Linked DNA regions of Arabidopsis thaliana. The protein of the gene in region 3 interacts with the protein of the main gene of each other region in a pairwise test. Each region holds a gene or a part of one and is shown on either strand. Other genes may lie near its edges.

Region 1 (11,150 bases), on a different chromosome or scaffold from region 3:
TAGCTGAAGAAATTCTCGAAAAAACCTTTCAGCCTCGTTCTTGATATCATCTTTAGTTGTGGCAGTACTACCATCTTCCTTCTGAATTTCGCGAATAGAGTTTTGAGCTGCTCTAGCGGTTGCTGCGCGATGGAAAGTTTTATTGTTTTTATCCCCAACCTTTAACCAATGAAACTTTGATACCTGCTTAAGATACTTCTCTTCAATGCTAGCTATCCTGTCCCAACGATCATAAGCTTCCGATTCTATTTCCATAGCTCTTTGAGATGGATTTTGTGAATTACTCTGTTGCGCCTGACAAAGACTGAGATAGGTTTCTCTCGTCCTTTTCACCAAATTGCCCATTTTTTCCTTCGCCAAGCCTCGAAGTTTTGGTTTAAGAGCCTTGAGCTTCTTAGTGAACCGGAACAGGGACGACGTGGACATGTGTATAGGCTCTGTTTCTGTCCAAAAATTTTCCACCAAAGGTTTAAACTCCTCCATATCGGCCACAGCATTCACAAACTTAAAAGGCTTATTTCCTCTCACTTGTGCACCAGAGTTCATATTTAAAATTGATACGACACCGTAAATGGTCAGAACACCCTCCCGCTTCAAAAACATTATAAGATTGTGGGTAGACCATCTTCCAAGCCTCATTCACCATAACTCTATCCAGTTTTTTCCAAATTGGGTCATTATCTCTCTTATTGCACCAAGTAAAAAGGGCCCGTGAGATGCCAAGTCTGAGAATGAGCAGTAGTTCACCAAAGACTGAAAATCTCGCATACCGGAGGTAACTGCTGGGTGATCTTCCATTCGAGAGTGCTCATCCATATCCAAAATTTCATTAAAATCTCCAAAAATTATCCATGGTTTATCACGAATGATCGGAGAGTCCATATGATCGGTGAGATGATTTTAATATATGAGTACTTGGAAAACTCAGCCTCGATAAGTATATATTCGGTTAGTGCCTCACAGTTTAAGTAGTTGTATTAAGAGTTATTGAAAAGAAACTAATGTGATTTTGGTTGTGACATTTTCTTAGACAAAAACCAAAGCTCTAAGCTAAACTGGGAGAAGAGGGTCCAAATAATTAATGGAATCTCTCGGGGACTTTTATATCTTCACCAAGATTCGCGGCGTCCTATTGTCCATAGAGACCTAAAACCGAGCAACGTCTTACTTGACCAAGATATGGTTCCGAAGATATCAGATTTTGGGATGAGTAAACTCTTCGACAAGCGTGCGACAGCAGCTAACACAACAAAGATCGTCGGAACTTAGTAAGCAAACAAACTATCATCGTTACATTTGAAAATAAAGCAAACACTTTACAAAACCTCACAATTGTGTTTCTTGTTGCTTGACAAAGCGGCTATATGTCTCCGGAATACGCGGAGGAAGGGATTTATTCAACAAAGTCAGATGTTTTCAGCTTCGGAGTCTTGCTTCTTGAGATTATATTTGGGGTTAAAAACAGAGACTTTTATAGATACTCGGAGAACGACGAAAGTCTTATTACATATGTAAGTGTAATAATCATCCAAAGCATTTTCGTCTTTTTTTTATATTTTTTATTGTGATTGATATAAACGCTTAAAGCTTTGTTTATGATGAATAGATATGGAGGAATTGGAAGGAAGGTAAAGGGCTCGAAATCATAGATCAAATTATCCTTGATTCATCAACATTTCAACAACACCAAGTTAAAAGATACATACAGATTGGTCTCTTGTGTGTTCAAGAATGTGCTGAGGATAGGCCCACGATGCTATCAATCTCTGTCATGTTCGCAAGCGACACAATAGAGATCGCTCCGCCTGGACCGCCTGGTTATTTAGTCCGTAAAAGTCAACTTGAGACTGGTTCCTCCTCGTCACGAAAGAAGCGAAACGAAGAATCTTGGACTGTGGCAGAAGTAACCTATTCGGCCATTGGACCTCGGTAGTCCAACGACGTGTTTCGCAAGGAACTTTATTTATGGGAGAAAGATTCTAAAAGTTGTTTCCCCGTGTAGGAAGTATCTTGGAAATTGATTAAAAAAAAAAAAACATAACAGAGTACTGTAATTTGTATTTTATATTGTTTTAGCCTGTTTTACTATAAAGAAAACATAACTTAATGACGTTTACACTAACTTAGCTAAAACCTCCATAACCAAAGCTTCACTCTCTAAGCTTCTTGAGTCTTTGGTTGAAATAATCAACAAATCTCCACCTCGACAAACGGTTACATCTAATATTCATTTACCTGCTTCTGATGTCATTACACAACTTTGTCCTTACACAATATGTCAGTAGGATTGACCAGAGAGTACCAATCTTGGTCATATCCCTTATGAAGTGTAGCTCAACTTCTATATGTTCCCGTTTCATATTTTTAGACAAACATATATAGCTCTTGGACTGTCACAGTTCACTTCATATTTTGATTGCAAAGAACCAATTATTATAGCAATCTTTTTATCCAAATTGTTTCCTTGATGCTCTCTGTAAGAGTCATATTCATATATATACTCTGCTTTTGTGGTGGATAAGGACAACGTGTTGCAAGCATCATCTCCAATTTTCAAGATACAAAAGATTGCTGTTAAAACAGAGAAATAGAAAACAGAGTGTTTGATAAGTTTGTGTGAAACTTGTGTCGCTGTGGAGTTTGGGGAGAGATCACCTTGGAAAGACTTCTCCAAGAAGAATTCATACATGATTAAAGGGAAGTAAAATGAGTTTACTTGTTAACCTTAGTTCATGTTCTTAGATACAGATGTATTTGAATTTACTGTAGAAATTCTAAGTATATCTTTTACTTCTTGAAGTGATCTAATAAACTTTTGTTGCAGCCGAGGACTAGTGGTTGGTTTGAAAGAGAACCAACCGATACCTTGTTAAATATTGTGTCGTTTCGTTATTGCTCTATTGTTTAAATCGTTTCCGCTATTTAATTATTCTATTTAGTATATCTCAAAATTTTACAATAATAATTCAAAAAGGGTACAAGACCTGAAAATTGTATCTATGTAACAAGAAAAAAAAATTAAGATCGTTTTAGGTGGAAGAGTGTAACAAAGCTAGTCTCTGAATGCTCTCCTTTTTCATGTAATTCTTCTTGTGATTATTTTTATAGCTATATGGCTTAAAATTAGGAGTCGGATTTGACCAGTCTCCTAAACCCTGAAAGGACCAAACCGGTATAGCTATATGGCTTAAAATTAGGAGTGATAGATTTGACCAGTCTCCTACGCCTTGAAAGGACCAAACTTGTCTAAATGTATGTACATGGGTGCATGTATATCAATATGCGTATACGTGTGTTTAAACTTTAAACTACATGCATGTAGAATTATGAGATATCAAATAAAACTATAACGTTGATTTTTATTTAATTTCTTTGTGTGGACGTCCTAAAAGGCAAAACTTTCCTTTAGATGTGTATAAACGTTTTTGTGACAGTTAAGATGGGGTTTCTTTTCCCCTCCAAAATGGCTAAGAGTTTATTTGATTTTGTCTTCTATTTCTATTTTTGCTTTTTATCTCTATTTTGAGGTTTAGATGATTTGTTACCTCAAAAACAATGTGCCAAATAACTTTTTTTATTCCGTATAAAATTAAATGCTCGCAACTAACAATGTCCTCTCGCAATTTTACTGTCCTTGACTGACACAATCGAGTTCAGACATCACAATCTCTGTTTTTTTTTTCTTTGTTAGGGAGAAAAAAAGAAAGATTCTTCTCCACCAAATTTCATCCCACTGGTTTATTTTAATAATGCACCTGCTAAGGCAATGCTCGTGCAGTTCTGCTACACACATATATGTCGGAGACTTTTGACTATGGAATTAACCCTATGAAATTCGTATGTCATTAAAGATCAAGCCCATCTCTTTGAATTTTACATAATAAGACGATTATGTTAAAAATATAATTATTATAGAGCGATCATTTAAGATTACATGGATAGGCTTGTCAAAAACAAACAAAAGAACAAAAAAGATTACATGAGTAGGCTTCTAATAACGGCGGCTTCAGGGCTATCTTCATCGACAGATTCGAGAAGCTGAGACAAACGCTCGCTCAGATTGTCAACTTCTCTGTTCAAATTTCGTATGTAATTGCATGTCTCTTGCAATACTTTCGAGGCTGATGCCTTCAACAACAAAAACGAAATAAAATCATAATCATTATAATATATGTTTTTTGAACCAATGCATGCGCTTTTATGCGTTTGCAGATGCATGCAAGCTGATGATTTTGATGTAATCTCTTATGTAAATATGGAAGAAAAAGGTTGTGAATATTGGTATATATGTTCCTTAATGTCCGGAGTCAAAAGTTCCGACTTCTTTTTTCTTTCTTGTTTGATTTTAGTGTCCACTCTTCTTTTTACAAAACTTTTGTTCTTTCCTTTTTTGGATAGGTTTACACGATGGATAATGTTAAATGGTCGTTATAAATGAATATATGCATATATTATGCGTGATACCTTATCAGAACGACGTCGTTGACCAATCTCCGGCAAAATTTGACGGAGCTTAGATACGAGGTCAATCATTTGATTATCGGAGATCCTTGGAGCACTTGAAGATTGCCTTGATCTTCTGTTCGACATGTTCAACAATGTGGCAAGAAAAGACCCTAACTAAGTTGTGGATTCTTCTCTCTTTCTTTACTTCTCTCACACTAGCTCAAACAAGTTCTATTGAGAAATAGAAATAGAGATATAATGAGATCGGCTATGTCTATGTGGCAAGTAGGTGTAAGCTTTTATGATTTTATAAGGTTTTTATGCTGAAAGGAAACGACCAAGAAGAAAGAAAAACTAGAGAGCAAGAAGAAAATAGAGAAGAGAATGAGAAAAGTGTTTTGGGGTTTTGAATACACTTCAAATATAAAGAAATTGAGAATGTGATAAGAGAGATTTAAATAGGCCAATGGACCACAAGAGAGAGAGAGCGACGGAGAGCAGCAATAAACCTCGACAATGATGTCACGGGAGAAGAAAGCGATAGATTGAATGCCCTTAAACCACAAAACTTCGAAATCATTTTTTATTACAGATTTCCAAGCCGTATATATACATATCATCAGTCGAGACTATTACCAATCATTATACGAAGGTAATGGCGGGATTGAATTATTTCACAACGTTTTCAATCATGGTTAGTTAGTTATTGTGTATAGTTCAAATGATACACAAGTTTCAAGATTCGTAACTTTTTAGGATTTTGTGGAAAATAAGTCTTGAAATCGTCCATTTCTACTTTCAGAAAATATAGAATAATTTTACAAAGTGAAAAATACTACGCAATATAACATTTTTTGCTATTGTCAGATTTCGTCAAGTTTTAAAAAAATTGAGAAGTATTATATCAAATCGAAGCCCTCGAGACAAAGAGTTCAACTCTTCTTTAATTTAGATTTTTTAAAATGTATGTGATCGTGAATACGTTTACAATATATGTATAAGGAATATATTGCGTATTATTTTTGTTTTTTTATGATTATTCTGCATATTTTAGAAGTAGAGGGTAAAATTACAAAAATAGATTTCTCTTAGGATTTGTTTTACCAAAACCCCAACTTTTTATGCCTCAACTATCCAAAAAAAAAGAAAATGATTATGACTAGAATGGATCACAAATATACATATGCTTAGTTATTGAAAATTTTACAGTATAATTCCTATAGAGTGGATAAATAAATGGGTACTAAATTTTTTGAATAATTGGAGGAGATTTGAATAGTTAAATGGAGGAAACGAAAAGTTCCCAAAGATGGGGTTGATGAAGGTCAAGATAAGTGTTTCATGTTCATCTAACATTGTGGCCCTTCATCTGCAATTTCACAAAAAGGCAACTACCATGTGATGACATGACTTTTCATTCAATTTTTTTTCTTCTAATATTAGAACTAGTATTATCGCCTAAATTGTCTCTCTAAATTTGTATTCCACAATATCTAGGTACAGTTTGTATATTTATCTGTAAATCTTGTATATTACCAAACTATATATTTTAAACTTGTATAAAATATATAGTTCCAAACTTGTATAAAAAAGCATAGAGAGAATTATGTAAATTCTATCTTCCATACTAACTACATTTGTTTTAGAAAGGAAGAAGCCTAATTATTGACTCCTATGGAACATTGTTTTCTAACTGCTAAGCCATAAATAGTTTCACCTCATATGTAAAATATTTCGTGTGATAACTTTTAAAAAATTATAGAATGTCAATGTAACTTAAAAATAGTAGATATAAAACAAATATTTTCTATAAAAGGATTATTGTTGATTTTGCCGTTTTCATCAAAATCTTTTGAAAAAGTCATTTTTACTAAAATTTTACGAAATTGTCATTTTAGTACTTATAAATGTACGTATTTACGATATTATTTTTACAAAAATAAGTATTTTATATTAAATGCTAAACTTAAAAAACAAAAAAAAAACTCGACTAAACCTTAATATAACGAATAAAAGCTATGCTAAATTTCATTTTTTAGACTGAAAAAGAGCAAAATCCACAAATTATTTAAAAAATGACAAAATCCATAAATATCATTCAAAAAATGGTAAATCCATAATTAATTCTTTTATAAAACGTGAAAAGGAAACCAAATGCTTAAAAGAAACGTATCTATCGGCTTTAAAACTTCGTTCAGACCATTTATTTCAAACTTCTTCGCACACTTACACTTTGCCTAAAATAATTTATTTAAAGAATTTTTTTATTTTGAAGTGAATAAAATCGCATGTCTCATATAACTTAATTTAATTGTTCGATTGGTCCATTATTGGTTGAGTATTAATTTATATAAATGTTCACAAAACATCGACTATGTCACGTGTCACCACCATGTCTCGTGTTACATGCTGCCCTCGGGTCCATAAGATCAAAATTTTAGATATCTTGTTGTCCAATAACATTATCAATAAAGATCCGACAAGTATGTAACAGTCGAATACAATTATCTGTTTGAACATATTATTATTATTATGAAAGGTTATATAAATTTCGAAATCCCTCATTATCCCTCAAAATATTTCGTTTGTGTGGTGTATTAATTTATCACAACATTCTATTTCATTAGTAATTCAATAACAGTTTAATATATTCTCACCAACAAGAAAATATAAGTGAGAATGGTTCTCTTCCGACAGGTTTGCATGACATGGATCGGATTATATTCATAGTTAACGAAATCAATGTTACGTTACGTTACTTATTAAAAGTACTTTTTGCTCAATATATACTAAATATATAAGAAAATTATTTTCTCCATCGTTGTGCTTGTTATATAGCCAAACATTTCATTACTCTAACCGATATCATCCGACATGAAATTCACACTTATAATTCAAGAGAATGACAACAGTATAGTAAGTACACCATATATATGTCAATGATCTATCCACCACAAAAATTCAACGAGAACATTAATTCATACAATTTTTTAATAAAGCACATAATTAAAGAAAACATTTATCAATTTTTCTTATATGTGTGAATACAAGAATATATATAAAAGTGTGTTGGTGTGTGTGTGTGTGTTTTATATATACAAGATTATTAAAGAAAGTGACCATTCTAATAAATTGCAAAGGGAGATTTTACATGTTAGTCCATGTGGGTTCGGGTACTAAATGTTTGGTCTCATAGGCTCCACAATGTTTTTGTGTCTACTTTTTCGCAATTAATTCACATCTTTACAAACATGTTGTAAAAAACACGAGTAATCATGTGGAAATGAAGGACTCGTTAAATAAGTAATTTATAAAAACTCACTTTGGAAAAGTTGAGCAATTTTTTTTTTTTCCAATGAATTACAAAAACACTATAGTACGATAATATGCATTAATGGCACCAATCATATCTTCGCAGTGAATAAAATAACAATTAAAAAAAAACATTGAAAAAGTCGTCAAAACGGCATCTTCGATTCTATGTTCAAAGATTTGAATTATTCAATTATATTTATAAATATTTGATCAGGTCGAAATATACAACACACATAAGATGTCCAACAATTATATTTATAACTGCGAAATGTTTCTCTGGATTTAGCATGAGTATTCGAATTACGCTGGAAATGTCGAACAAATTCCACGGATAACATGTCCCTTGATAAGAATTGTTTCGCCATCATATATTCACATAATCACATCACAAACAAAGCATCGACAGATTGTGTAGTGTGTGTGCACACACGTAAAACGGTAGACTTTTGCCGTGTTACTACAATGGCAATTAAGAAGATACTGATACATCTATGTAATTCTATCTATTTACAGTAAGTATCATTAAGAAAGTACATTAAATTTAATTCCATATTTTCTAAATTCAAATTGAAGACTCTAGGTAAATAGGGATTCTTGTCTAAAATGCCGTTTAAAAAAAAAATCTAACAATAATATTTTGAATAGTTTACGAATTCTGCCATTTTTTAACACTTAAGTGTACATATTACGAATTGTTTTTGCAAAAATATGTCTTTTATATAAATTAAAATGATTAAATCCAAACGAGTAAAACGCATCTTAAATCACATTTTTGTTGTCTTAAAATATACAAAATCTACAAACTATTCAAAAAATGGCAAAACCAACAATTAAGTTAAATTAAATACTTTACAATTAAGTTAAGGATCATTTTTACGGAGTGACTCCAATTTATTAAAAGAAAATACTTCAATGGTAATAAAGTTTTTTTATTTTGATATATTTATCTAGTTAAGAAAAAAATCATTTTTACTGAGTGACTCTAATTTATTAAAAGAAAAGACTTCAATAGTAAATAAATTTTTTACTTTGGTATATTTATCTAGTTAAAAAAAGGAATTTAAATGATATATCTACACGAAGATCTGGATTTTTCACTCGTATATTTTTCAATAGTAGGTATCAACTCTTAATAATAAGGAATACGTAACACATTATGGTCCAGGTATAGACCAATATATATTTCATGGTCCCCTTTAACCATTTTTCTCTCATAATTATTACACAATCATGCTTTGCATAGGCTTCTCCAAAACAATGAGCCTCATGCTCATCAACAGCAAAAAAGCTTTACTATCTAACTAAATCTATTCATTATATTGTTTTAGTCTTACCTTAGATCGGGAATTACATCACTCTACAAATGTGGTGGGGAAAATTACGTATGTTGTTTACATAATCTGATAATCATAAATAAGAAAAGGATATCTTATTTGAAATCGTTTAAGAGGGGGTATTGGACGCATGAGTTTGATAGAATTTAATAGAATCATAAATTCTGGTGTTATTCAAGTAGAGATTTTACAAATTCTTTTAAACTCTTGTGTTATTAAACTTACTCATTTCTTAATTCTATTAATTGCAATTGTTATTCAAGTTTATGTTGAAATTGTATGCCATCGTTACTTGACAGGAATTTAATAGAAAATTTAGTTTAAAATGTGAAGAACAAATTCTCTGGTTTTGAGTTGAGATTTTGATAGAATATTTCAACACATCCAAAATTCATCGTCTACTTTTCTCCTTCATATGCTTTTCTCAAATCTGAGGGAGAGTGTTATTAATCTAACACATCTACAATTTGTGATCTCATGATCCGGCTAATTGCTCGTCAGATCATCATCCATTAGATTATATTGAGGGGGAGAGTGTGTAAATCGAGAGAGAGAGAGAGACAAAGAGGAAATAAATGGTGGTGATGACATTGTCGTTGGTGTTAAAATAGGGATCTCTTCCATAAGTTTGATAGAATTCCATAAATGTCAACGTAGGTCATTTCTGGGTAGAAGAGATGTTGGTCGTTTCTGGGATTTTTAGGGTTTGGACATGGTGGGTGATAGAGAGCAACGTAGAACAATAATTCTATAGTAATTCATTGATATCTTTTTAATTCTAGGAAAATACTGCAAAATAAATTGTTAGAATTGAAAAGAAAGATTTGAAAATCTTTTACAATACTTGAAAATCTATAATTTATGTCTTCAATTCTATTCTATTAAATTCTCTCATCCAATACCTCCCCCTTAGACTTTATATAAAAGATGTTTCTTCGTCTTAGAAAAATACTTGGGTTAGGGTGAACCTTTTAATTTACCCTCTTTTATTCAAGCCAATCACAATCTGTTATATAATTAAAAAAAAAAAATTTGATTATAAAATATAAGTTGTTAATAAATCGAAATTATATAATAATTTGGGTTTATAAGAAATGGGTAAGGTTTAGATTTTATGATTAGACGAGGTTAAATATCAGTTTGGATTTATAAACGGATTTAAATTTTACAATTAAACGAGGTTAAATATCAGTTTGAATTTATAAATAGATTTAGATTTATAAGTAAACGAGGTTAAATATCAGTTAAGTTTAGAAAGTATAGTTAAAGTTTAGGTTTTACAATTAAACGAGCTTGAATGTCGGTTTAAGTTTACAAATGAGAATTAAAGTTTAGATTTTATATTAAATAAAATTATATATCGATTTGAATTTAAAGAATATTGATTAGGATTTAATTTTTATTAGGTGGTATACTTTGATGGACTAAAATAAAAACGTGAATCCCTAGTATAGTATTATTCTTTTCGTATACCGGTCCTTATTTTTTAGTTACTTTAGTTTTTTTTTTTGACATCTAGTTACTTTTATTTTAATTGCATTTTTCTTGGATCATTTTAAAGTAATAATATAAAATACTAAAGAAACAAATACACATACTTTTTGTGTTTTAAAACTATTTTATTTTTGGTATTTATTCTTGATTCTTTTTTCAAATCGGAACATGATTTTAATACATTTTTTTAGTCTTGTGTAGTAAAAACATCTTATATTAAACTACTTTATTGTTTAAGCGTTTTGCTTGTAAGCAAAGTGACCGGACATAATAATATCAACTACTAGTATCTTATAAGAAGCAAGATTCGAAAGTGACATGGTTCAAGAACACAAGGTCCAAAACATTATAAAAAAAAAAAAAAACACTTCACTTCTACTACTAATTAAGAACACTAACAAACCAAATATCTCACAAAAAGAGGTAACAAAACCAAACTATTATCAACTAAAAGCATTTTGATAGGTTTAGCTAGGTAGTGTTTCATCTTAGGGATTTTTTTAAGGGTTTGGTACTTTTCACTCTTCATCATCCTCATCTCCATCACCACCAGAAGCTTTC
Region 2 (12,115 bases), 9.9 Mb from region 3:
TGAATTTATATTTAGATATTAAAACTATATTTGTTTTTTGTATATATGGTTTAACTTCAGAAATAACAAAGACTTTCATTATTTTTGATAACGACACCTCTCTAATTTTGTTTCTTTTCGAATTTTTTTGAAAATAATATAGAAGAGATTTTCAACTACTTCAAAAATGAAGGAAGATAAAATTCAATGGAACCGAAAGAACAAAAGAAGGTCCACTTTGGTTAAAAATCTCTGCAACCACAATGATGCCCACTCTTTGTGGTTCAGATTCTTCATTCTTCGATCCTCTCAAATCTCTTAACTACTCCTACCTTCAAAAAACTACTTCCAATTTCATTTTTGGTTATGGATAATATCTTATCATATAGATCTTGTCAAAATCAGACAGTTCATGAATAGATCATTGGTTGGAAAAATTGATATGAGAAAAGAACATTGACCCACTTGGTAGCTTGAAAGCTACTTTTAGAAAACATATTGTGATAAATATATAGAGAGCTTGTGTCAGCATCAGTAACATTATACATATCACTATAGTAGCATAGTGTAGTAGATTTTGTAGTGCATTGATAAAGTTGGAAAAGAAAATAATAAGCTAGAAACTTAAGGGATCTTTGGTTTCTTCATATAGATGCACGAATGTTGTTGGCTTTGTAAAATTATATATGTAGGTGCATCCGAATGCAAAATTAGATATATTTTGAATGTAATGAAAACTAGAGTTTGAATGCAATCGTAGCATCAACAAGACAACAATGATCAAACGTCTAAAATATCATTCTTTGAATTAAAAATGAAACAAATTTAAAACAACGTCCGATTTTATATATGTTCACCAATTTCATAAAGAATTCATGAATTTGCCATCACTCGAGAATCCAATTTTCTTATTTGTTATAAAAATGTTTACTAGTGTAGTTTTTAAATTAACAAAAATTTATTTGACACTAACTAATATCCAAAAAAAAAATAGAAATAGAAGAATCCTACTCGATGATGTTTTATTTGACAAAATTTTATTTGACACATACTTCACATTTGATGATGTTTGCTTTTTACAAGAATCCTACTCGAATATATGGTTAATCTTTAGCAAGAAAATAGAAGAATAAATGAATAACCTCTCCCGAATCTGTGAATAGTCGATGAGCTGTTTCCAAACGAAATTTTTTTCTTTTCTTTTCATCTAAATGTGCATTGAGAGTCATCATTCGGATTCAACATCCAAATTCAACGCCATGATGTTGGTTATGAATTTTTAAAGAATACAATGCAATCTTGTATCAAAATAACTAAAGACAACATCTGTTTAAGCTATTAGTTTTTTTTCTTATGATCGATTTAATTTTACATAAATTAAATAGCTAGAAAATAATTTGTATTCAATGAATAAAATTTTATGTGAAGATAAAATCGACATTGATTAATTGGCTGCCTAGATACCGTTTACTTTGATCATCAAAAGTATTCTTCCACCGATTTATAAAAAATCATGGCGACCTAATAACTCTATACCCATACCCTTCGAATGGGAACATATTGATGGGTACATTTCGTTGACAATAGAATCTTAGATATTTTATTGTAATTACCACAAGAGTTTTCTTAGATATTCGTTGCAGAAAAAAAAAACAGGAAAACGATTTATAATTTTCTTAGATATTTATATATCCAAAAAAACAAACAAGAATTGTAATTACCACAAGAGTTTTCTCTCTTTCTTCTACAAATATGATATATATCTATAACTCCTCTAAAACATATTTATCTATCTCTCTATATAATCTATACACAAAGATTGATGGTGACAAGATCATTGGATTGCTATCTCCAGTTCTTCTGGTTTAAATATCAGAAAACAAGGATCAAAGGATAATGCATTAACCAAATTTCGAAATTACTACTTTGATGAGCAAATGTAATAGAATTTGCTTCTGATTTTGATGATTGATTGATGTCAACCATGTTGTTTCAATGAATCTTGCTTAGTAATGAAAACCGAGGCTAGATGTGTTGTAGAGACTCTGTGATTGAGTTTCCCAGCTTCCAGATGGCTGAAATAGAGAGATACAGAGACAGGTTACTTCACTGACAAGGAACAAAAACTCTGACAAGTTTTTCAGTTTCATATAAAGCTGTACTTACAGCTTCGATAGATGTCGTTTGGTTCGGGTTTATCGCAGACAAATCTAGAGATCCTTGCTGGTCTAACGGAAACAATGGCACATCAACCATTATTGATTGCTTTGAAGCAACTACATTTGTAAAGTAAGCCTGAAACTGAAAATTTCATAACCCTTAAGTTTGTTGAGCAATATCAATATGACTTTGAGGGTCTAGACAATGTGTTTTCACCTGTTTTACGGATACATCTTCCACGGCAAGCTCTAGTTCCGGGTTCAAGACAGCAAGTTTCATCGACAGGAACTGCAAAGTATGGCTCTTTAAGAATTAGACTTATTCTCTTTGGTTAATAGTGAAGTTAAGTTACAGAGAATCATGGTTTCATTGCTTACCTCGACTTGTCTTTGGAGACATTGAACATAATTGATGATCTCATCAAGCATACCAGCTTTTCCTGTGACCTTATTGCATCCAGGCACAATATCTTGCAGATATTTCATTTTCTTGCTGATCTTTTCTCTTCTCGCCTGCAAATCCAAATCCATTCAGAAACCCTAGATATATCATGATTCTTGTATCACAAGAAACTTATTTATTTTTATTACCCTTTCTGCTAAGCTGTGTCTGTCAGTGGCTTGGCCTCGACGAGCTCTCACGTGGATATAATCTAATTTCTGATTCTCTGAAGCTCCTTTCGATGTCTCCTTTGAAGTGTCTGAAGATGCTTCAGTGTTTCCCATGTTTGATTTTCCTTTCATGCTTGACTCTGTCTCAGCCTCTACTTTGATCTTCTTCTCTGTCTTTTGCTCTTCCCTTGTCTTAACCTAAGACATTATTAATAAAAAATATCAAAAACCATGTCTCAAAACAAAGTTTTTATCCAAAATTTTGATCTTACAAACCTCTGGTTTTCTCTTGTTCTTCAAGGCAACGGCTCTGGTTTCTTCACCGGTCTTCAACAAAACCTCCATTGTATCCACAGGTTCCATATGGCAGCTACTTGTTCTTGAAATGGATTCATGTGGAGGACCAAAACCCATGTTATAGTTTGGTCCAAAACCAGATCCAAGCATTTGAAATTGGCTGAAACTACTCTCCAACAACTCATCATTGTTGCTTCCATGGAACTGAAGTATCTGAAGAAGTTCAGGTGAATTATTACTGCTATGGGACACAACTTGTTGCAGTTGCTGTTGTTGCTGTTGTACCCATTTAAGCCTTTCAAGTACAGACATGTCCATAGAGTTTAAGGACAAGCTTTCTTGAGAGACAAGACCTTCCAACATATTGTTCTCTGCAGAAATCTTTCAACTTATGATCTTTTAAAGTGAGACCAAAAGTACAAAACAAAATAGAGAATGGGAAAAAATGCAAAAAAGCTCTGAGTTATTTGGTGGGTTTAAAGCAAAAGAGGATTTGCTATAAATGTATGAAGAAGTAGAGATTTAGGTTATGTAATATTGTTTTTGGGTGGTTGCTTAAAAAAGATGAAAGAGTTGGGAGAAACTAATCCATTGAAATCATTCTTCTTAGCTTTAAATAGAAAACAACATTGACCCACACACATAAGGTCCCCTACTTCTTATGTTTTTATTTTATTTTCCTTTATAAATGTAGAAATTTCATTTACTTATTTGTTATCTCTTACCTCTCTAGAAATAAATACTCTCTTACCAATTCAAAATGGTACCACACGTTTTTTATACGCCACAACTTTTTTATACGTATCCCTTAAAAAATATATAGCAATAACAATAGTTTTCTATTTTACGTAGATGTTCAACATAACATTTGTATCGGATTTGAGACCGATCTTTTATGATAAGTTTACGAAAATGGTCGTACTGTAGCTATGTGATAGTCACAAATGACAGTGAGATAGATTAAACGTTAGCGTTGGTGGATAAATCGGGTCCATCGTTTAGAGACACTTGACTATGACTAGGAGAAAAAAGAGGCTCAAGAACAAATTGCGGAAAATAGTAGTAAAGATTCGGTATCTAAGAGAGAGAGGGACATAAATTGATAAAAGAAAAGGTTGGGAGCAAAGAAGGTGAGAGGAGAAGGTGTAGGGTCTAAGTGACATAACCCACACCATGTGGGCATGTCCTTATGAACACTAAATTTAGAGGTTCTTTATCCCTTCTTTGTGTGTGTTATGTTTTCTTTTTTTTCTTCTTCTTTTTTGCCCTTTCAAGTTTATGAGAGGAGCTTTACAAGGAAAAAATAAACAATGAGTGAGACCTTAACATATATTGACATTTGGAATAGTCAAATTAATTGAATTCAATCCAAACTAAAATTCAGAAAATTGATTGTTTCTATAAAACTTACTTACAAAGTAAAACCCAAACAAACTACATTGAATCCATGTAACAAAACTTATATTAAAAAAAGTTTGACCGCAAAATTTGCATCATGACATTATTGACATGTAGTCTAATAGTTTGTATTTTGTGTTGTAAATTGTAATTGTATCAGTACAAAAAAAAAAAAAACTGAAAAGAAGAAAACATCGCTAGAGAGAGGGGTCGAACCTCTGACCTTGTGGTTAACAGCCACACGCTCTAACCAACTGAGCTACTCCAGCTTATTGATAACAATAATATATAACTAACTATATTCAGTTAGTTTGAAATAAAGACACAAGACAAGATCATGCAAAAGATCTTGTCATCTTGGGTTTTCCATAAAAGAATCAAACGAAAATCCATGAGTAGATAGATAATACAGCAAGACAACAAAGAACAGTATACCACCAACCATTGAATATTTTAGAAATTAATCTATAACATGACATGTTAATAATTAAAAGCGACATCAAAATATATTTAAAATATATAAAGAAAACAATGGGTTTGAAGATAAGTGATTGGAAGGTAGGAGACCATTGCTTTTGATCAGAGTGTTTGATCATATTCTTCTGTCTACTAGAGTGTGGGCTTCCAACCTAAAACCAATTGGCAATAGGTGGAGAGACCCATATCTTATATATACCACTTAAGATCCTACTTAACTTCCGATGTGGGACATTGTCCCTAATACGCCCCCTCGAGATGATGGCTCTTCTAGCCATTGATCTCGATATGTTTGGGCATGGATCGGCGGGCCAAGTATTGGGCCGGACCGATGTGGATCGGGTTGAGTATGTGCGGATCGGGCTCTGATACCATATTAGAGTGTGGGCTTCCAACCTAAAACCAATTGGCAATAGGTGGAGAGGCCGCTATCTTATATATACCACTTAAGATCCTACTTAACTTCCGATGTGGAACATTGTCCCTAATAGTGTCCTTCTCCATTCACTGTTGTAATACTATTAAAGTTATAAGTTTACCCACTTCCAAATTTCAATCACATTCATAAGAACTGCAAAACGAGCGATTTTTTTTTTTTTTTGGATTTAAGTTCTTATAAGTTTTCCATTGTGAAAAAGTTAGCTAGTTATGTTAATATTATACATGTAGCAATATAGCACAAAGTCATTACTTTCAATCTACATAGTTGGACCAAATTGAATCAACTTTATAACATTGGCTGCATTAATGATTTTTTTCCTAAAAAATACAAGTCATGATATAATTCTTAAGGTTTCTCACATCTAAGATGTATCTGTCTAACAATATTAAGTTGTTTCTTTTTGATAAAAAGTTTTCTAATTTGTTTACTGATAATATCAAACAGAACCGTTGTAATAACAATATCGATGCCAGTAACAAAAGCTTATATGTTTTTTTGTTATGTGTAACAGTCTGATACACAAATAGATTACTTTTTTTTCAGTGTTTTCACGTCCAATTCGGACCCTCCAGTTCGACCGGTTAACCCACAATCCAAACACTTCTCTGGTTTGGGTTAAGTATTAATAACCGGAAATACTTACTATTGGACTCAAGAAAGAATGAAAGGGTGTGATCCATTTCAAACCCCATATTTCTTAATATGTTTTGATTTTACAGCAGAGAGATTTGGACAGGTTCTTCCTCTGCCATTTCAGCATCATGAGGATGATAACAATAATGAAACTCTATCTTGCGTTAAAGAAGAGAAACTCTCGGTGTTATATCAATCCCTGTGATAGAGATTTGGATTATAACTAAGATTGAGCCCTAAGTGGTGTTGTGGACCCCCTTCTTAAAAGTTGATATAGAACCACTCACTGTTCTTGATTTTCAGTTTTATGAAGAGACTTGCGGTTTCTTCATTGATGAAGAGAAGAAAGTCTTCGTGGTTTTTGAGTTAGATGAATCTCAAGCCTACAAATATGCTTACATCATTGGAGAGAATATATGCTTGAAAAAATTGGATCTTGGAGAAGTTAGAACATTTTCTTGCCCAATTGTGTGCTCCAGCTCTTATGTTCCAAGCTAAGTTTAGTGAAAATCAAGGAAGAGGAAGAGCAAAATTAGGAAAGAGAAGAAGTGAAAGCGAACCAAGTTAACAACAAGGTCTAACACTACACTATTAGTCAAAAAGGAAACAACAAGAGTTACAATTTATTAATAACTTATAACTCTTCTTTGAATTAGAAAGAAAGAAAATAAAAAAAGCTCAACTTTCATTCGTTTTTTTTTCCTTTTCTTTTGCAATGTCCTTTAAACAAGACTAATATAATATTAATTTTGGTCATAAGTAGTATTTTGAAAACTCTTGTATTATTTTCTTTTGAGCTTGAGTTGGAGACAAGGTGATATGTTCGAATTTTGAAATGAAAGCAATCGGCATGATGAACAGATTCAAAGTTCTAGTACTCATAGTAATACCTCAAAGTGTAGCATCCAATGTTGGGCCTTATATCCAATGCAAACATATGAAGTCAATGTTGCGCTTACATTAATTTTCAAAGTAGAGGAAGTAACTGTCGACTACAAACAAGCTTCGATGTTGGGCCTTACATCCAATGCAAACATATGAAGTCAAGCCTAGTGTAATCAACAGTGCGTGTGAAACAAATGTAACAAAATAATAATAAATGGTCACAAGTTCCTTCTATGACGACATTGTATTGCATGTCATATATCCAATATTCCAAGTGACCAAGTCGAAATCCAGTTTTATTTATTTGGACAATCCTTCTTTCATTCATAATTTCCCAACTTCAACGAGGACTAAAAAATTAAATTGTATTAATAAATATATAGAATTGAAACACTATAGTCTATAAATATATATAAACACTATACTACAAACCTCAATATCAACATTTACTTATTTTTAATCAAAAAAATAGGCACCAAATAAAATACCCTTCTATCCGGACGAATCCTTGTGCTTCTGATTCGATTACGAGACAAATTGAATTAGTTTATATCTTAAAATAAAAAGTATTCAAAAGCTTAGAATAATTATGATCTGGACCAGATATGGTAAATAACTAATGCAAATTCCTTTGCAAGAAAAAGTTGAAGAACTTATTGTTGCCACACTCCCACAACTAGTTTCATAGCGCCACCACCAGTAAACATGCATGTGTTTGATTCCTAAGGGGTTTTTAAGTCGACATTAAAAAGGCTAAATTGTTCAAATAGTTATCTTACAGATTGTTTTCTCATGATGGCTAAGCCAATGCTCTATGAAATTTAACTAAAAATTATATATTAAATTTTGCTGTCGAAAATTCGATAACCAAAAATCTACATAAAACTCTTGGATATATGCTATCTACTAAAAACAAAAAAAACCATGAAGATAACATTATGCGGGTTTGAATTTTGGATGATGATACAATGAACATACCAATCTGAACCACTAGATTTAAATGTTTTGATCAATAAATTGTACAATTAAAATGAAGTTTTTAACAAAGTTATTACTTTATATATATTTTAAAATTTTAATTCTTATTTTATGAAAAAGTGAATAAAATTCGTTTTTTTCGTTTCTTTAAAAGGTGAAATCATAGTAACCACTGTTTCTAAACAATTTTCATTATCTTCAAATTAAAAGATTCATTTTTTTTTATTATTTTTGTTAACCGAGGACTATCCAAAGTCTTACTATATAATCTTCCAAAATCTATAAAAATTTCAGGTCAGTGAAAACGTTTACGGATGGTCATAGATAGTTGAAATTGGGAAAACTCGAACCCTGACAAATAATATTAAATTTGAAAAAAAAAAAATCAAGATTCCATATAATTAAATGTTTTATAATTTACGTGGGCATGTGAGTACGAGGGAGCATCTTAACAACATCGACTGTGGAACTTTTCAAAGGGATCATGTAAAGTTGGAATCTGATCAAATAAAATAAGAAAACCTTACTTTAGCAGCGAAGTTTGGTCCATATAGGCTATAGAACAACAACGAATACCCAATACGAGTAGCACATGACGAGGTGGATCATAGTAAAATGTTGATCACAAAACAAAATTTAATGAGTGAATTAGGTAGATGACACAATTGAATTAAGAAAATAGTAATGTAGTTTTTTTTGTTAGTTTTAATTTTATCTTTCATTTAAATGTTATGAGAGATGTGAACTTTATTTTGTAGCATGTTATTATGTCATGTGGACCTTTATTTCATTTATTAGACGCATATATTTGTTGTTATATGCATGTACGTTTACTTTTACAAATGAATGTCTACAGCAAAAAAAAAGAACTCTAGATTCTATAGCTCCATCCCATAAAATAGATGTCCACTGGGAAGTACATTTTAAATATAACCTTAATTTTTGTAATTAATTACATGACAATGCCATTAGAAAAATTTAATCAAAAACAAAATCCTTTAATGACGTCATTAAGATTACCAAAATCATTTAACTATAATATTCATTTCTTAATTATAAAGTTTATTGGATCTAAAGACGGGTCATCAAAGATTTCCTAAACTGAAGCAAAATATACCGAATATTCAAATATATATCTGTTACCAAATTATAAACAAATAAGTTCGTAAAACAATTTAATATTTAATATATAAAATTAATTAAATCTTAATCACATAAAAATTAGCACAAAAAAAGTATTCAACAATTAAAAAATTATCAAATCTCTGTGTTATATAAGTTTTTATACTATATTACAATTTCTACAAGGAGATTCTGAAATGGCAGAGGCTTGGTTCGCTACGTCAATTCTAATTCAATTTGTTCTAAACTTCCTCGGAGCTAAAGCCTCGTGATTCAATTATGGCTCTTTGCTGCTATTAAGGTGATAGTATCTGCTTAGCCCATAGTAATAAGATGGTAGTGACCGCTTATCCTAAGTCTTCCGCTGGCATGGGTGTAACTGTCCTTCCAAAGTACCTCAAACAGTCCTCTTACGAAGCCTATTCCCGGCCTTACTCTGCATTCTTTCTTTCTGGTTGTACTAAGCAGGAGCGTTCCCCCTTACTGGCTAGGCAGCTAGTAGATGCTTGGCTTTCATTCCATTCCATTCTGATGATAAATGAAGAAAGAGGTGTCGGACATCCTTTCCTTAGTAGGGTTTCTCCCTAAACAAAATACCGATTCAAGCCCCTTTACATGTTGAGATTAAGGACGAATTTATAAGGTATGAGACGACCCAGAAAGCACTTAATCATGATAAACTTAAGTAATTTAAGCTAACTAATATATTTGCTAATCTTATACCTATCAAAACCGACTATCGTTTCTTATCTCTATAGTATTTTTGCAAGACTTTTTGGTGGAATTGGGTATAAGTGTATTCGGGTCATATGGTACATTCTTCTATTAAATAAATATGGTGCACTCCTATGTTATTAGCTAAAATGTTTAGATTATAAATATAGTCATATCATAAATAAAATTAATATTAATAAAATAAATGGCTTTTTGGCAAGACGGATTTGGAGGGACGGGTTTTTGAATCAACATTAATAAAAAAATAAAATATAATTACTCCACCGTTTCAATACGGGTTAAATCTTTAATTTATTATTTTTTAAGACCAGTAATATGAAACATATCAAATCATCCTAATTTAGAAAAGATTATATAAAACCAAAAATGTTATGTAGTATACTGATATGTATAATGTTACTATATATAAAATTAAACTATAAAATATAAATGTATTAGATAATGATACAATTTGTAAAGCTTTTATATATAATAAATAATTCTTAAATTTTAAAAATTACTACTTTATAAAAAAATACGGGACGGGTAAAGAAATTACAGAACGAGTTTTATTTTGGAATTGGGTTATATGGTAGATGTATTTGAATCAATATTTATAAAATTTTAAAGTATTATTAATATGCTGTTTTAATAAGGGTTAAAACTTCAGCTTTTTAACAATTGTCTCATGGATTCGTGGTATAGCGTTACTTAATAACAATTATAAACTGTAAAATATAAATATTTTATAAAAATAAAACTTGCAAGTTTTAATATATTACCTTTAAAAAATAAATCGTTCTGCGGTATACCGCGGGTTAAAATCTAGTTAACATATAACGGAGAAAATCACTCATATGATAAGTGATAACAGTTGATTGAAGAATAAAATCATTGAAAGAATCGTTATTAATATACACTCTTCCGTTTGATTTGTTGAATCAAATGTGTTAAACATCCGTTCAAAGGACAAGGCCATAAGCGCCTGTTCAAGTCGAGGATCGCAAGGTAAGTTTCCTATACCGCTACATGTGTACGTGAAATAACATACTTAAAGTATGAGGTTATATGGTCTGCGAATGCATGAACCAAAACCAATGAATGATGGTCATTATCGACGACAATGATTTTGAATCATAAGCGAGCAAGACATGACCTCAGAGGTGGCAAGGAGATCTGAGTATCCGAACATTGCGAGTCTTAATGACAATGTGAGATTTCACATGGACACGGTTTCTCAAAATAATTAGTATTTGTTTTCGTGTTTTTTTGTCGTTATATGTTTTCAATCGATTATGTGTCAAACTCATACAGAAATATGATATTACAATGCTTAGAACATGGTTATAAGTGATAATTATAAAATATCATTAAAAATAATTTAATATTATTTATAATATTTGTTTAATAGATTTTTTTTTTTTCCTTTTTGGTAAATGCGACCAATCAGAGGATATCACGTCACATGATACTGGTATCAAAAACATCATTGAGCTGATCAAGTTCATTTTAATTATTTTATTAATATAAAAATAATTTTTGGACTTGTGATACTATAGAAATATCACTCATGTACATGGTCTTAGTTTCCCCAAATGTACACTTGTATTATTGAAACTAGAAAAGAACCCGTGATACTAGTAAATCTTTTATTTATTATGTTGTAATTTAAATAAATATATATTTAGATATTCAATTCAACAATTAATATCTCTTGCATTTTTATTTATCAAAAAAAAAAGAGTACAAAGCAAAATATTCAGAGAAAAATAGAGTCCATAACTCCATATATGTTTGTTTTCTTAATGTCATTTACTCAATTATTTTTCATATATAAGTAATAACCAACATATAGCTGTCAAAAAAAAAAAACAACATGGTTGGAAAATGGTCACAAATAAAACACTGCTAAGTTTGCCAAAAAAAAAAAAAAAAAAACTGCTACATGCAAGTGGAGCTACCACGCAAAGTTAGAGGCTTAAACACATTTACTAAAAAGTAAAACTTTAGGTACGAAAGTTCCATAACTTCTCACCTTCTCTGTAGTCGAAGAATCTGAGGATTGATAAATGTTTTAAACAAAGAAGCACAACAAGCGTAAGAAAGGCGCAGAAGATCTCTCGAAGATAAGATCCCAAGATTTGGAGAACTAGTCCGATTCTCTAACCATGTTCAAAGGTGAAAATTAAAAAGAAGACAAGAACACCTGAATATTCTTTGATAAATGTACTTCTTTTCACATCTCTAGGCCAGCCAGTAACTTCGATTCAAGAACTCAATCATCCCAAGAGATCAAAGAGATTTACACAAGATGAACTAGTTTACAAGAGGCTGCACAAAAGAAAAGAAAAAAATGGTTTGGTTAGTGAGGAATCATCTTGATTAATTTTTCATTTTAATAAATGAACATATCATTGTC
Region 3 (10,941 bases):
GAAGTAGAACGAAAGATAGAGAAAGCGGACACATACCAGAACAGGGATGGAAAAGGTAGGTGAAGATGAGGAGAAGACCATTGAAGAAGCAAACAACTCAACTGAGGAGACGAAGAGTGATAAAGAGGAGGAAAGGATAAAAGGTACTATTGCTGATCAGGTTGATCCAGTAGATTCCACTGAAGAAGGTTCTACGGGTCCATCCAACTCACACACTGTAGTCTCCAAAGATCATGATTTTAGTGAATCTGATATGGAGGACGAAGAGCAGGTTCTCGAGTTTTTCAGACGTAATCACGGTTTTTCACCTGAGGTCACCAAGAGAAACAACTTCCCATATGTTAACAACTCTGAAAGGATGGTACTTCAGTTCCAAGAAGACACTTCTGCAGAAACAGAACAAACAAATGAAATGTTCCACAGTTTGAATGATAGCAACGAGATTCTTGAAGGAACCAAGTCATCATCAGCTTCAGATGAGGATACCGAGGACTCATCTAGTAACTCAGACCTTGATTCCAGCCTTTCCAGGTATTATTTTGACGGATCCTTACCGGTTTCAGCTCATGTCGAAGAATTTGAAACTCATCAAGATGAATCCCTTGTACCTAAAGATGAAAACCAGGTTTGTAATCCAAATTGGTGGGGTATGATATAACGTTCTCCATACGCAACAATTCAGTTACAGCTTTAGCTCTTATCATTTGTTAACTAAGACAATATCCGTTAAATGTTTCAGATGCCTCTGCTGTGTCTCAAGCAACCCATGCTGCAACCAACTTCATGGAGAAATTGCTGTGGACTCCTCGAGCTTCTCTGGGCTGCTGATCCATAAATTTCAGATACGAGGAAAATCGACCTCCAATGAATGGATTTTAGCAGTAAGTAAGGATATAGACGTGACATGTTGTTCTAGTAACCAACACAAAATGGTTTATAGTAGTAAGTAGCTCATATTCACTTTCTCTTTAGGATCTATGTAATGAACCACTGTCAAGCAAACTTTTAGAAAAATGTTTCTCTTTGTAATTTAGTTAACAGGAGACTACAGACCATTTGAAAAGAAAAGCAACTACACATCTTTAGCCTAAAAGCGAGGATAACCAATTACCTTAAACAAACAAAAACAACCAAAAACATCACAAAGTCGAAACCAAAGCCAAGCAAAATCTTGGGCACCTATATGACTGTGAAACTGCAAAACGTTATGGTCTTCAGCTAATCCTATGCTCCATATTATCGAATCACATTCGTTTTGAATAGCATCCGAACAATGTCGCTGCCACTAACCAGCAGCAACCACTGCCACTGTAATTCTCCTTCCAAGTAAATCTTTCCATAACCATCGCAAGCAACATCCTTTGTAGCTCTGACTCCATTAGTAGGCTCCAAGATCCTCTCGTTCAACAAAGCTAGCGTTTTCTTAGCTTCTTCAACCTTCTTCAATTTCTTCTCCATTCACTCAAAGCTTCCTCTCAGACTTGCAATTCCCCTAAACCTCTTCTCAATATCACTTCTCACTTTCGTCAAACTCTCTACTTCCTTCTCATAACTCTCAAAGCTATCACCTTTCTCCATTAACCATTTCTTCAATTCAGCCACCTCTGTCACCGTCTCATCTCGCCGCTCAACGCAGTGATAAGATCATCCTGAATACTCACTCTCAAGCTCCACAGCTCCCGTCGATATAGATTCTAAAACCTTCTTCTCTTCTTCTATTTGCTTCATCTCAATCTCCATCTCTCCACACCTCTGCTTCATCTCCACTTCCAGACTTCTCATCTCCTCAATCTCTCTCAGTAATCTCACCCTCCTCCTTCAATTCCAGATTATCCCGTGTCAATTCTTGCTTCTTCTTCTCCAATTCCTTGAAATAGAATTCTATTTCAATTCACCAGAAAAAAATGATTTAGGGTTTTAAGTTTTAACTTTTAGTGAAGAAGTCGTTCCGAGGGTAGTTGACACTTGACAATATTGCCGCGAATCCTTTTTTGTACGGACCTCTTAGTGTTTAATGGGTTCAGGCCCAGTTATGTTAAGCCCAATTATAACATAACTAAGGCAATCAAAAAACATGTGGAATCGTAATCTTTTAGGCTTTTAGCCCATACAGGATGTGATTAGTTATAATCTATCAATGGTTTTTATTTTAAATTTTGGTTTGGTAAAGGATGTTGAAGTTAACATTATTGATTACAACTTCGTACTATACGATGTTCAACCTTAAATTCATCTTTGTAATGTAATTTGGATAGAGAGTAGATAGGGTTGGTAAGAAAATTATATCTTCCCCGACTTTCCGCTATGTGTGGAGTAAATAGTTCCATAGAGTTCGATATAGCTGCATTGTTGTGGGTCAGAAATTACGTTATAATGAATACTAAAACTGATATTGTTTTTTTTCTAGCGGCAAATGTGTTTAAATTTCTGTGTAGATGCTAGCTCTAGTACTTACACGACTAAAAAGATTTGTCTTGTATATGTATGTACAAGGAATATACATGAACTCTATTGTTGGACCACGGGAACTCAAATCTAGTAAGTTCATCATAAGCTTAAATAAATATCGACCGACTTTGGAAATCTTTGTTATAATAAAGCATGTGAAATGAGCTCATCCAGATTTAAAAATGGGCCACGTAACATTAACTTTCTCAATATCATTAATGTCAAATCTCATATGCAAGTGAAACCTCGTGATCCAATTTAATATCTATACTATATGGCGTCCTACTAAAATAAGTTATATAACTACATTAATTAATGCTAATTTTCGTTAATGAACACTTCTCATAACCGTGAAACGGCTTAATAAATAAATCAGAACATTAAAATTAAAGATTATACTCCTACTAAAGAAAAAAAAAATTCGAAGAAAAAAATGTTGAGTCTCTTTCCTCATATATCAAAGCTAAAATCCCATGTTATAAAAAAGGAAATAAAAGATTTGAAAAAAAAAAACGTTTTTTTTTGTTTTTAGGAATCGAAGAAAGAAGAGCAGTCTTGGTGTGATAATCTTCAACCTCCGAACTTCATGTCTTCTTGATCTATGCGTTGAAGAAACGAAGTAAGGACTTTAATGGTTTTGATCTGACATTGTAGAGACAGAATGTAACCAGCTGTCTCTTCGAAGAGCGCGTCCACACCAAGCGCCGCTCCTCCGGGGATAATCCTCTGCAACGCCTCAATCTTTTCCTTGACCTCATCTTCTTCTTCTTCTGCTTCTTCTCGGTCTTCACGTACGCTTGCGTTAGTCTCTGACAATCTCCGTTTGGTTCTGCGCTCGAAACCAGCGGCGCGTGATTTCACGGTGGCTGAGCATGACGGTGACAGAGAGCGTCTCGTGGCGTCGGGAGTGGCTAGAGTTTCTTCCATTGAAAGAAAGAGAGAGATGAATGATGAGTCTGAGAGAATAATGAACAAGTAAGGAATGTGGATATGTGTAACTGTGTGTGTTATATATATATATATGAGTGATGATGGATTTAGTAGACAAAAATGTTGAAATGTGGTCGGTTCAACCTGATTTTATTTTGGTTTGTTGCGAGTTTAGAGACAATACTCTATCGGTTTGATTTGGTTTGCTATGCTTTATGTTACATTGTTTGCTTACATTAGTGAAAGGTTCGGTTATGAACGAATTTTGGTTTGGTTTGTCTATAAAAAACGATGTAAAAATTGAAACGATATAAAATAAATTCTACATTTAGAAATTGGGAAATGGTTAAATGAGCGGTATTGCCATCAAAGCTGGGTCCAGTTGTGCGTTATTTTTAATTTTATTATCCTCGTGTTTCGGATTGTGGAGATTTATTTAATTATCTCTTACTTTGGTTGCTTCCACAGATTTGGATCTTTAGAAGAAGAGCTTTCACGCGCCATGTCGACTGGTTTAGACTTTAGTGGACTCATCACTCACTTAAGTGGATCAACCTCGCATCTAGATTGGATTTTTTTGTTTGTTTGATAAATGAGATTTGGCACGTTAAATTTGTTTGTTTAAGAGCTAGACGTTTGACATAGTAATTAACTAATTATACAACAATGCTTTATTATTGTATTAGGATATGCGTTGTTAATACAAGCCGGATTACTTTTAGCAAGTGTCTCATTTATTTATCAAGCCGGATTACTTGCTAAAATATTATTCGAACTTTAATTTAAACTCTAAATGGTTTGTGATCTGGTTTAGCCATAAATGTAATAGCTGCTATACGTTGTTTTGCATAGTTACCAGTCTTATTTTCTACAACAAGAATAAAGAGTATAAACTATTTTATGTGAGCTTAAATTTCCAAAAGAAAAATTCAAGTAGACGACGACAAACCCTATAGTTATGCACTTATGCTTATAGGCCATTCGGGTGGTGCCTGGTAATGGACTAATGCCTGATGGTATAAGAGTAAGTTTTGTCGTAATTACGTAGTACGGACGAAATGAAAACGACCACGCGCGTGGAGATAAGGAAGGAAAAGAAGAAGGATACAGTGAGACACTACTTGCATGGGAACAAGGAAGAGAGAGGAGAGGACATGTGCGGGTCACATGAATATCTCCATCTTCAAAGCCCCATTCCCATGTGCTTCCTCCTCTCTATACATTATGTACAGACTGTAATATAGTATTATTATTAGATGGATGAGATCAAATAGATCCTCTAAGAGATAGTGAACTTGTTCGTACAATTGAGGACCTAATCCTACTAAGATCCACATGATATCTATCGGGCATGGTGGCCACGTGTCAACCCTTTTTTGGGTCCCCCCCACCTCAGTGACCTCCTAAATCTGTCCTTCATTTTTTTTTTGTCAACTCCTTTTTCTTATTAAAAGAAACTCCAATTAACATCCCATATTTCTTACCACGTAAAAACAACAATCTCAATATATCTATAATGTTAGAGAAATGGCCACTATATAACAAGAAGAAAGCCAAGGAAGTTTAGTGTTATTGGATTCGAATATAGTGTTACATGTTTCTAGCTAGAGATCTTTATAATATACATCTTTTATACATAAAACCGTTATAGTAAATCTTACTTAATGTTGGTTCCATAAATGAGCCCTCCGGTGCATTTCTTTTGTCAACTATATGATATAAAAACTAGATAAAGACTTAATAAAAAATAATTGCATTAAAAAAAAACAATTGCATTTTTGTAGGTCTTTAATCCAAGATTGCAAATTAACCTAAATCTACTCAAGAAAAAAAATTTAGTAAAGAATAATGATTGACATCTAATTAAAAGAAATAATGTATGGTCTTAATTAAGACAAAGATCAGGAACAGAATAACACATTTCTTTTACGTCTAGGGTTTTTAGTAATACTAAAAATTGTTAAGATGTTGTTTTAGAAGAAGAAGAAGATGGAAGAGAGAAATAAAGAAAGAGATGATGTTTCCAAAGAGGGGACGAAGGAGGGTTTGGTTTCTCGGGATTGAGATTTACAAAAATCGGGTGCCTTTCGCATTTCACCATCTACCAAACTGACACTCTCCCCAATTCTAGTATCTATTTATTTATGTATTTGCACTTACATTAAATATGTTACAAAAATAACACACTCGAAATTTAATTTTAGCTTTTAGCCAGCTTTCACATTCGTCGTCTTGGAATAATCAATTCTATGTCCTTTTGTATCTTGTTCGTTGTTTCTATTTTTTCCAAAATAACTTTTATTTAATGACGAAAACCTAAATATTTATATCTAGGAGGAGTTTGAGATGATTCCCTTTCACTATTTATTTTTGTTGCCACAAAAATAAAAGAGAAGAGTTTGGTTAAAGACAAGACAGTATATGTTTTTTTAAGAATTAAGAAAGGGGAAGATTAAGAAAGAAAATATGTAATGTTTAGCTAAAAAACTCCAAATCAAGGGAAGTTAATTAGTTATCTTCTCTTTTTTTCTATAAAGGCTGGAGATATGGGCCACACAGGTGGACCTACCATGATGGGTGATCTCTGGGACAATGCATACAGTGGTTTTTGGGTCCACCTCTAACCTTATTTGTCTCCTCTCTTGGCCTCATTTAGTTGCATTTTTTTCAATTGTACATGCATTTTCACTTGCTATATCTCTCTTTTGCTTTAAAACTTATTTTATTAAAAACTTTATAATCAGAAAGAAGAAGAAAGATCCCAAATTTTTTTATTTTTATTTTAATTAAAATAGAAGTGAATAAATAATCTTTAAATGATTTTTTCTAATTTTATTTTGATATTTCTATTTTGAGATACTATTTATTGAACAGCAATCTCTCATTGTGCTCATTTATTAATTTGTAGAAGAAATAACTTGTTTAGGAAGAAAGTAAGCGAACTCAACTGTTTACACAAAAATATATACACAAATTGGTTGGTTTAAAGATATGATCAAGTGACAATGCACCTTTCTGTTTCTACTGACATTTGGAAGAACAAAGTGGTGCCTGTGATATGGGTTCCCACCACCACATGCGTTTGGATGTGCCATGAAACCATCATCATCATCACCATGCGCATCCACACTGATCCATCTTCTGTAGCCAGCGGTTCTTTTAAACGTGAAAAACTCTCAACCTTTCTTGTTATATATACCAGAATCTAACATCCATTTATTTATTTGTCGGAATAGAAAAAACAAACAAATGATGGATCACAATTAATAAAAAAAATATTTTTTGCTCATATGGTTTTGTGTCATAGACAATTTTCTTTTATGACATGAAGATGGAAACATACAATGTTCTGTGTGATGAAAGCCCAGCTTAGGTGGAGAACTAGTACATCTTTGACATACCGTACCGAACAGCTCCAACTTTCCGGTGAGCAGAACCACCAGGAGCAGCTGCTGCAGCTGCCGCTGCGACTCCTATTCCGGCAGTTGCCTGTAACAGATTTGTGTCGATTATGATCCGGTCACTGATGTTTTCGGCTTTGTTCATTCCCGTTCTAGCCATGATAAACGGGTTGTTGTCTATGTTGATGGCTACATCTGGTGCATATCTATTATACTGAGATATTTGTCTTGCCTGCTTCTCAGGCTCCATAGTTGTTCTTCTCTCTTGCTGCTTTCCCATGGCGACTGTTGCAGCAGATTGTTGTGAAAAGGGGAGATTAGTGCTCCGGATGAATGATCTCGGGTCATATGCATCTCTGCTGATTCTGCCATTGTCGAAAGGTGCAACCGGGCCCATGAATGTGCTTGGTTTGGCTGCTGCGTGTAGATAGATGTTTTACAGTTTATAGAGGTCAGTTTGGACACATTGCTGTTGGATTCAGGATGAGTGATTAAAAGTACCTGAGAGGTTTCTTTGTTGTGCTTGTATTGTTGCATGATTAAAAGGAATGTTTTGAGTAGTTTCAGGGTTCAATGTGTTTGTGTTATTCATAAGTTTTGGTTGTCCTCCTCGTGCTACTGCGGTTGAGTGTATGACCGTTGATCTGAAAGCATGCAAACACAGAGTCAGAAGGACATATTTTTATAGAAATTAGTGTTCAACACAAGAAACAGATAGTCACGGTCTTATGATTCCATCTTTTTTATCCTTGCCATGTCAATGTATATTAATATACAACTAGTATAGCAGTTGCATAACGGGGGTCAAAAACAGAGGAGATCACCGAAACCAGATCAAGTGACAACAGACTTTACAGAAAAAATGAGGATATACCTGGGAAGAGAGGCATGTTTCCTTTCTAGAGGTGCCACAGGGCCGGTTTTACCACTGTTTTCTTCAAGATGCGCAAATTGTCTTCTAAATTGATCAACAGCACTGCACAGTATACATCAATGTCAGGGACTGGGTGTGATATGCAATGCTAGCTCAAGAATGTAATCAACAAAAATTACGACCTTGGGTAGAGAAAACTGGCTTTATCAGCCCCGTTCATATGATCTTTAAGCAGCTGAGGGTGGTACTCAAGTATCTCCCTAGAAATTAGCTCTCTTATATCCTCTTTAGTGACCTTTCTTCTCTCGAACTCAAATTCCATCTTCGTGATGGGTTGACATGAAGGCTCCCTTTCCACTTTTGCCAATCCCTTAAAATATGGATCAGCAAGTGCCTGATTCAAGTATACAAGAGTAGTTTAGTGATTCACTCCAATAGAAACCCCAAATGCATGATACTCTATTATTAGAGAGAGAAAACAATCAGGAAGCCGAGAATTCAAGATTTGAGATAGTTAGTCAATATGGAAGTTGAAAAGCACCTCTTCAGCAGTTGGCCGGTCTTTTGGATCAAAAGCAAGAAGCCTCTCCAACAACTTCAGAGACAAAGGATCTGCATTTGGGAATTTCTGTGCAAACGGAATGGGTGGCTTTTTCCTCATGCTTGTTAAGTACCTCCTTGCCTTCTCATTCCTCACCTGTATAACATCATAAAAGCAGGGTACTCATCACTACTGGTCCTTGCTTAAGATGTGTAGAAACTCAATGGACTTCGTTTAGCAAGAAGATCAATACCCGTGAGATGGTGTCCAGGGAAGGTGTCCCTAGCAGATCAGTCATAAGATCCAGCTGGTGAACCACATTCTTTCCAGGGAAAAGTGGTTTACCCATCAACACCTCCGCAAAAATGCAGCCTATACTCCAGATGTCAATTGCGGGTGTATACTACAAAGCCAAATCCATCAAAAGTTATATCGCGGCAACACACCAATTAAAAGATGTTATATAGAGAACAAATGAACACCTTAGAGTAAAAAGATCCACAAAGCTCTGGAGCTCTATACCATCTGGTAGCAACATAGTCCTGTAAATTCAGTAGAAAATAATGTAGAAGAGTATCAGGTCCTGCAACGTAGTGAATAATATTTAGACCAACTTCAGTTTAAGAGAAGGAAAAGACTCTTAGAGAGCCATCTTGTCAAACGTACAGTCCAGAAGATTGTTGTGGGGGTATCATTGAATGCAACCCTTGCCAATCCAAAATCACAAATCTTAAGTTTACAGTTTGCATTTGCCAATATGTTCTTTGGTTTCAGGTCTCGGTGGTAGACATTAGCTGCAACAACCAAGATTCATAAGATAATATAATACAACAAACCAAACTCGACAGCTGAGTTAAAGTTCAGATATATTGGGGCAAACTTCAAAAGGCAAACATTTAGCCAGACAATGGAAACCGCAAGAATCCAATTCAGTGCATCAATGTATGAGATAGTACTGTAGAATGTAAAGTCCTAAAAGACAAATCTGACATACACTACATTTTGCAAGTGTCCAAGATTTTCATCTACAGAGAGAGCGATATATACACACAGAGAGATTTGAAGATGAAAAGACTATTGCTAGATGCCGGATAAAGAGAGACCAAAAGAAAAAGACTACCTGTGTGAATGTACTTCAGTGCACGCAATAACTGATACAGGAAAAACTGGTAATGCTCTCTAGTCAAATCATCATTGGCTTTAATAACTTGATGAAGATCCGATTCCATGAGCTCAAAGACAACATAAATATCTTTGAATTCTCTTCGTGAAGGAGGAAGCATAATGTGCTTAATTTCAACTATATCTGGATGCCTTAGGAGTCTAAGAAGTTTAATCTCACGTAGAATCCTCGCAGCATCAGAAATATGCTCAAAAATATCATGAATTTTCTTTATCGCGACTTTCTCACCCGTAAGAGTGTCTATAGCTGAGCAAACAACTCCATAACTGCCTTTTCCAATAACTTCTTGAACTTTAAATCTATTGGCATCGCCATAGTCAGAAAAGAACTCCATCTCCAGATTATTCTGTTACAAATACCATTACTTCCAAGTCAGAAACATTACAATAGAGATAACACTATACAAGAATCAGATGCAGAAGGTTCTCTACTGATGCTACAAAGGACGCCTAATGAAGGATCAATGCAATTGAATGTCAATTTGCTGATGAAGAAATAAAAAAAATGTCTCAACAACACATCATCTTGTCTTGAATGATGACAATTATGCGTTGTTTGTTTGATGACACTTGTAACGTTCATTGATCATAAACAGAGTTGTCCAAAACGGCAAAAAGATTAAAGACAGTAACAGGAAACAAACAAGATTAACCGAAACACACACATAAATATCTCAGACAGAACAGATAGTATCGGATGGAATAATTGGAAAAAAGGAAGAGTTTTTGTTTCACCTTTTTGCGATTATCTTGCTGCATCGTGACTCAATTGAAACACAGACTAAAAACCCAGGAATTAGAAGAACCCTAGAATTCGATCTGAATTGGGGGGAGGGAAATAGAAATTCAGATCAGCCGCATTGGCCCCATCGACCACTACTCCAAATGGCGAAGCTAGAATCCGACCTGGTTCTGCTCCGGCAATCGATCACCGACAGAGACAGAATCGCAGGCGAATTTCTCATTCACCTCTCTAATTCACCCAATTACCCCCAACGAAATCGAAACAACAACAAACAATCGCAGTTCAAGATAAATCGAGGAATTGAAGATAGCAGAGTGCGAACAGCATTGCTTTAGACGCACGTTTTCGTCGGCACGAGATCTGATCACCGACACACAAGGGATACAGAGAGAGAGAGAGAGAGAGAGAGAGAGAGACGAAGAAGTAGTGAAAATGAAAGGAGAGAGAGAGATAAGGAAGGAATCTAGACGGAGATTTATATATAGAGGTTAAAGTGTCGCGTTTGGTAAGCTGCTTTGGTCACTGTGATCCAAAAAAACAACCCATTAGTAAAACGAAAAAATAAATTATTTGATCAAGTGTTAATAAATTAATTAGGACATTATTGATCTGGTCATTATTAGTGTATGATCTATTTTTGATCTTTATTGCCATTCATTCATGTCTTCTTTATCCAATTCTTTCGTTTTGTCACGTACTTATCTCATAGATATAATGTTAATAGAATGTTATCATCTTTATCCTTAAAAGCTTTTTTGCTAATTTTAGTTGCTAAAACTTTGTTTTATTCACTTTATCATTTGCTATATTGTATATACTG

Evidence for each region.
Region 1: the proteins of PAR1 (region 3) and PRE1 interact in a two-hybrid assay, tested with the Arabidopsis thaliana proteins (one study listed by BioGRID).
Region 2: the proteins of PAR1 (region 3) and HBI1 interact in a two-hybrid assay, tested with the Arabidopsis thaliana proteins (one study listed by BioGRID).

Annotation. Positions count from the first base shown.
Region 1 is NC_003076.8:15,951,129-15,962,278, reverse strand, and holds PRE1 (basic helix-loop-helix (bHLH) DNA-binding family protein), read right to left. Parts: upstream 4,912-11,150; 5' UTR 4,591-4,911; coding exon 4,465-4,590; intron 4,129-4,464; coding exon 3,976-4,128; 3' UTR 3,720-3,975; downstream 1-3,719. Other genes in the region: AT5G39850 (Ribosomal protein S4), read right to left, coding at 11,108-11,150. UniProt on the Arabidopsis thaliana protein: Atypical and probable non DNA-binding bHLH transcription factor that integrates multiple signaling pathways to regulate cell elongation and plant development.
Region 2 is NC_003071.7:7,951,037-7,963,151, forward strand, and holds HBI1 (basic helix-loop-helix (bHLH) DNA-binding superfamily protein), read right to left. Parts: upstream 3,704-12,115; 5' UTR 3,411-3,703; coding exon 3,027-3,410; intron 2,949-3,026; coding exon 2,730-2,948; intron 2,652-2,729; coding exon 2,517-2,651; intron 2,428-2,516; coding exon 2,356-2,427; intron 2,281-2,355; coding exon 2,146-2,280; intron 2,055-2,145; coding exon 2,000-2,054; coding exon of another isoform or gene 1,986-1,999; exon of another isoform or gene 1,605-1,985; coding exon 1,510-1,604; 3' UTR 1,368-1,509; downstream 1-1,367. Other genes in the region: AT2G18320 (F-box associated ubiquitination effector family protein), read left to right, coding at 5,184-5,273, 5,592-5,627, 6,301-6,495. UniProt on the Arabidopsis thaliana protein: Atypical bHLH transcription factor that acts as a positive regulator of cell elongation downstream of multiple external and endogenous signals by direct binding to the promoters and activation of the two expansin genes EXPA1 and EXPA8, encoding cell wall loosening enzymes.
Region 3 is NC_003071.7:17,833,813-17,844,753, forward strand, and holds PAR1 (phy rapidly regulated 1), read right to left. Parts: upstream 3,807-10,941; 5' UTR 3,376-3,806; coding exon 3,019-3,375; 3' UTR 2,604-3,018; downstream 1-2,603. Other genes in the region: AT2G42860 (uncharacterized protein), read left to right, coding at 47-625, 740-835; AT2G42865 (uncharacterized protein), read right to left, coding at 1,459-1,626, 1,702-1,782; MPK20 (MAP kinase 20), read right to left, coding at 6,760-7,196, 7,281-7,423, 7,654-7,755, 7,836-8,047, 8,195-8,350, 8,448-8,597, 8,677-8,736, 8,861-8,988 and 2 more. UniProt on the Arabidopsis thaliana protein: Atypical bHLH transcription factor that acts as a negative regulator of a variety of shade avoidance syndrome (SAS) responses, including seedling elongation and photosynthetic pigment accumulation.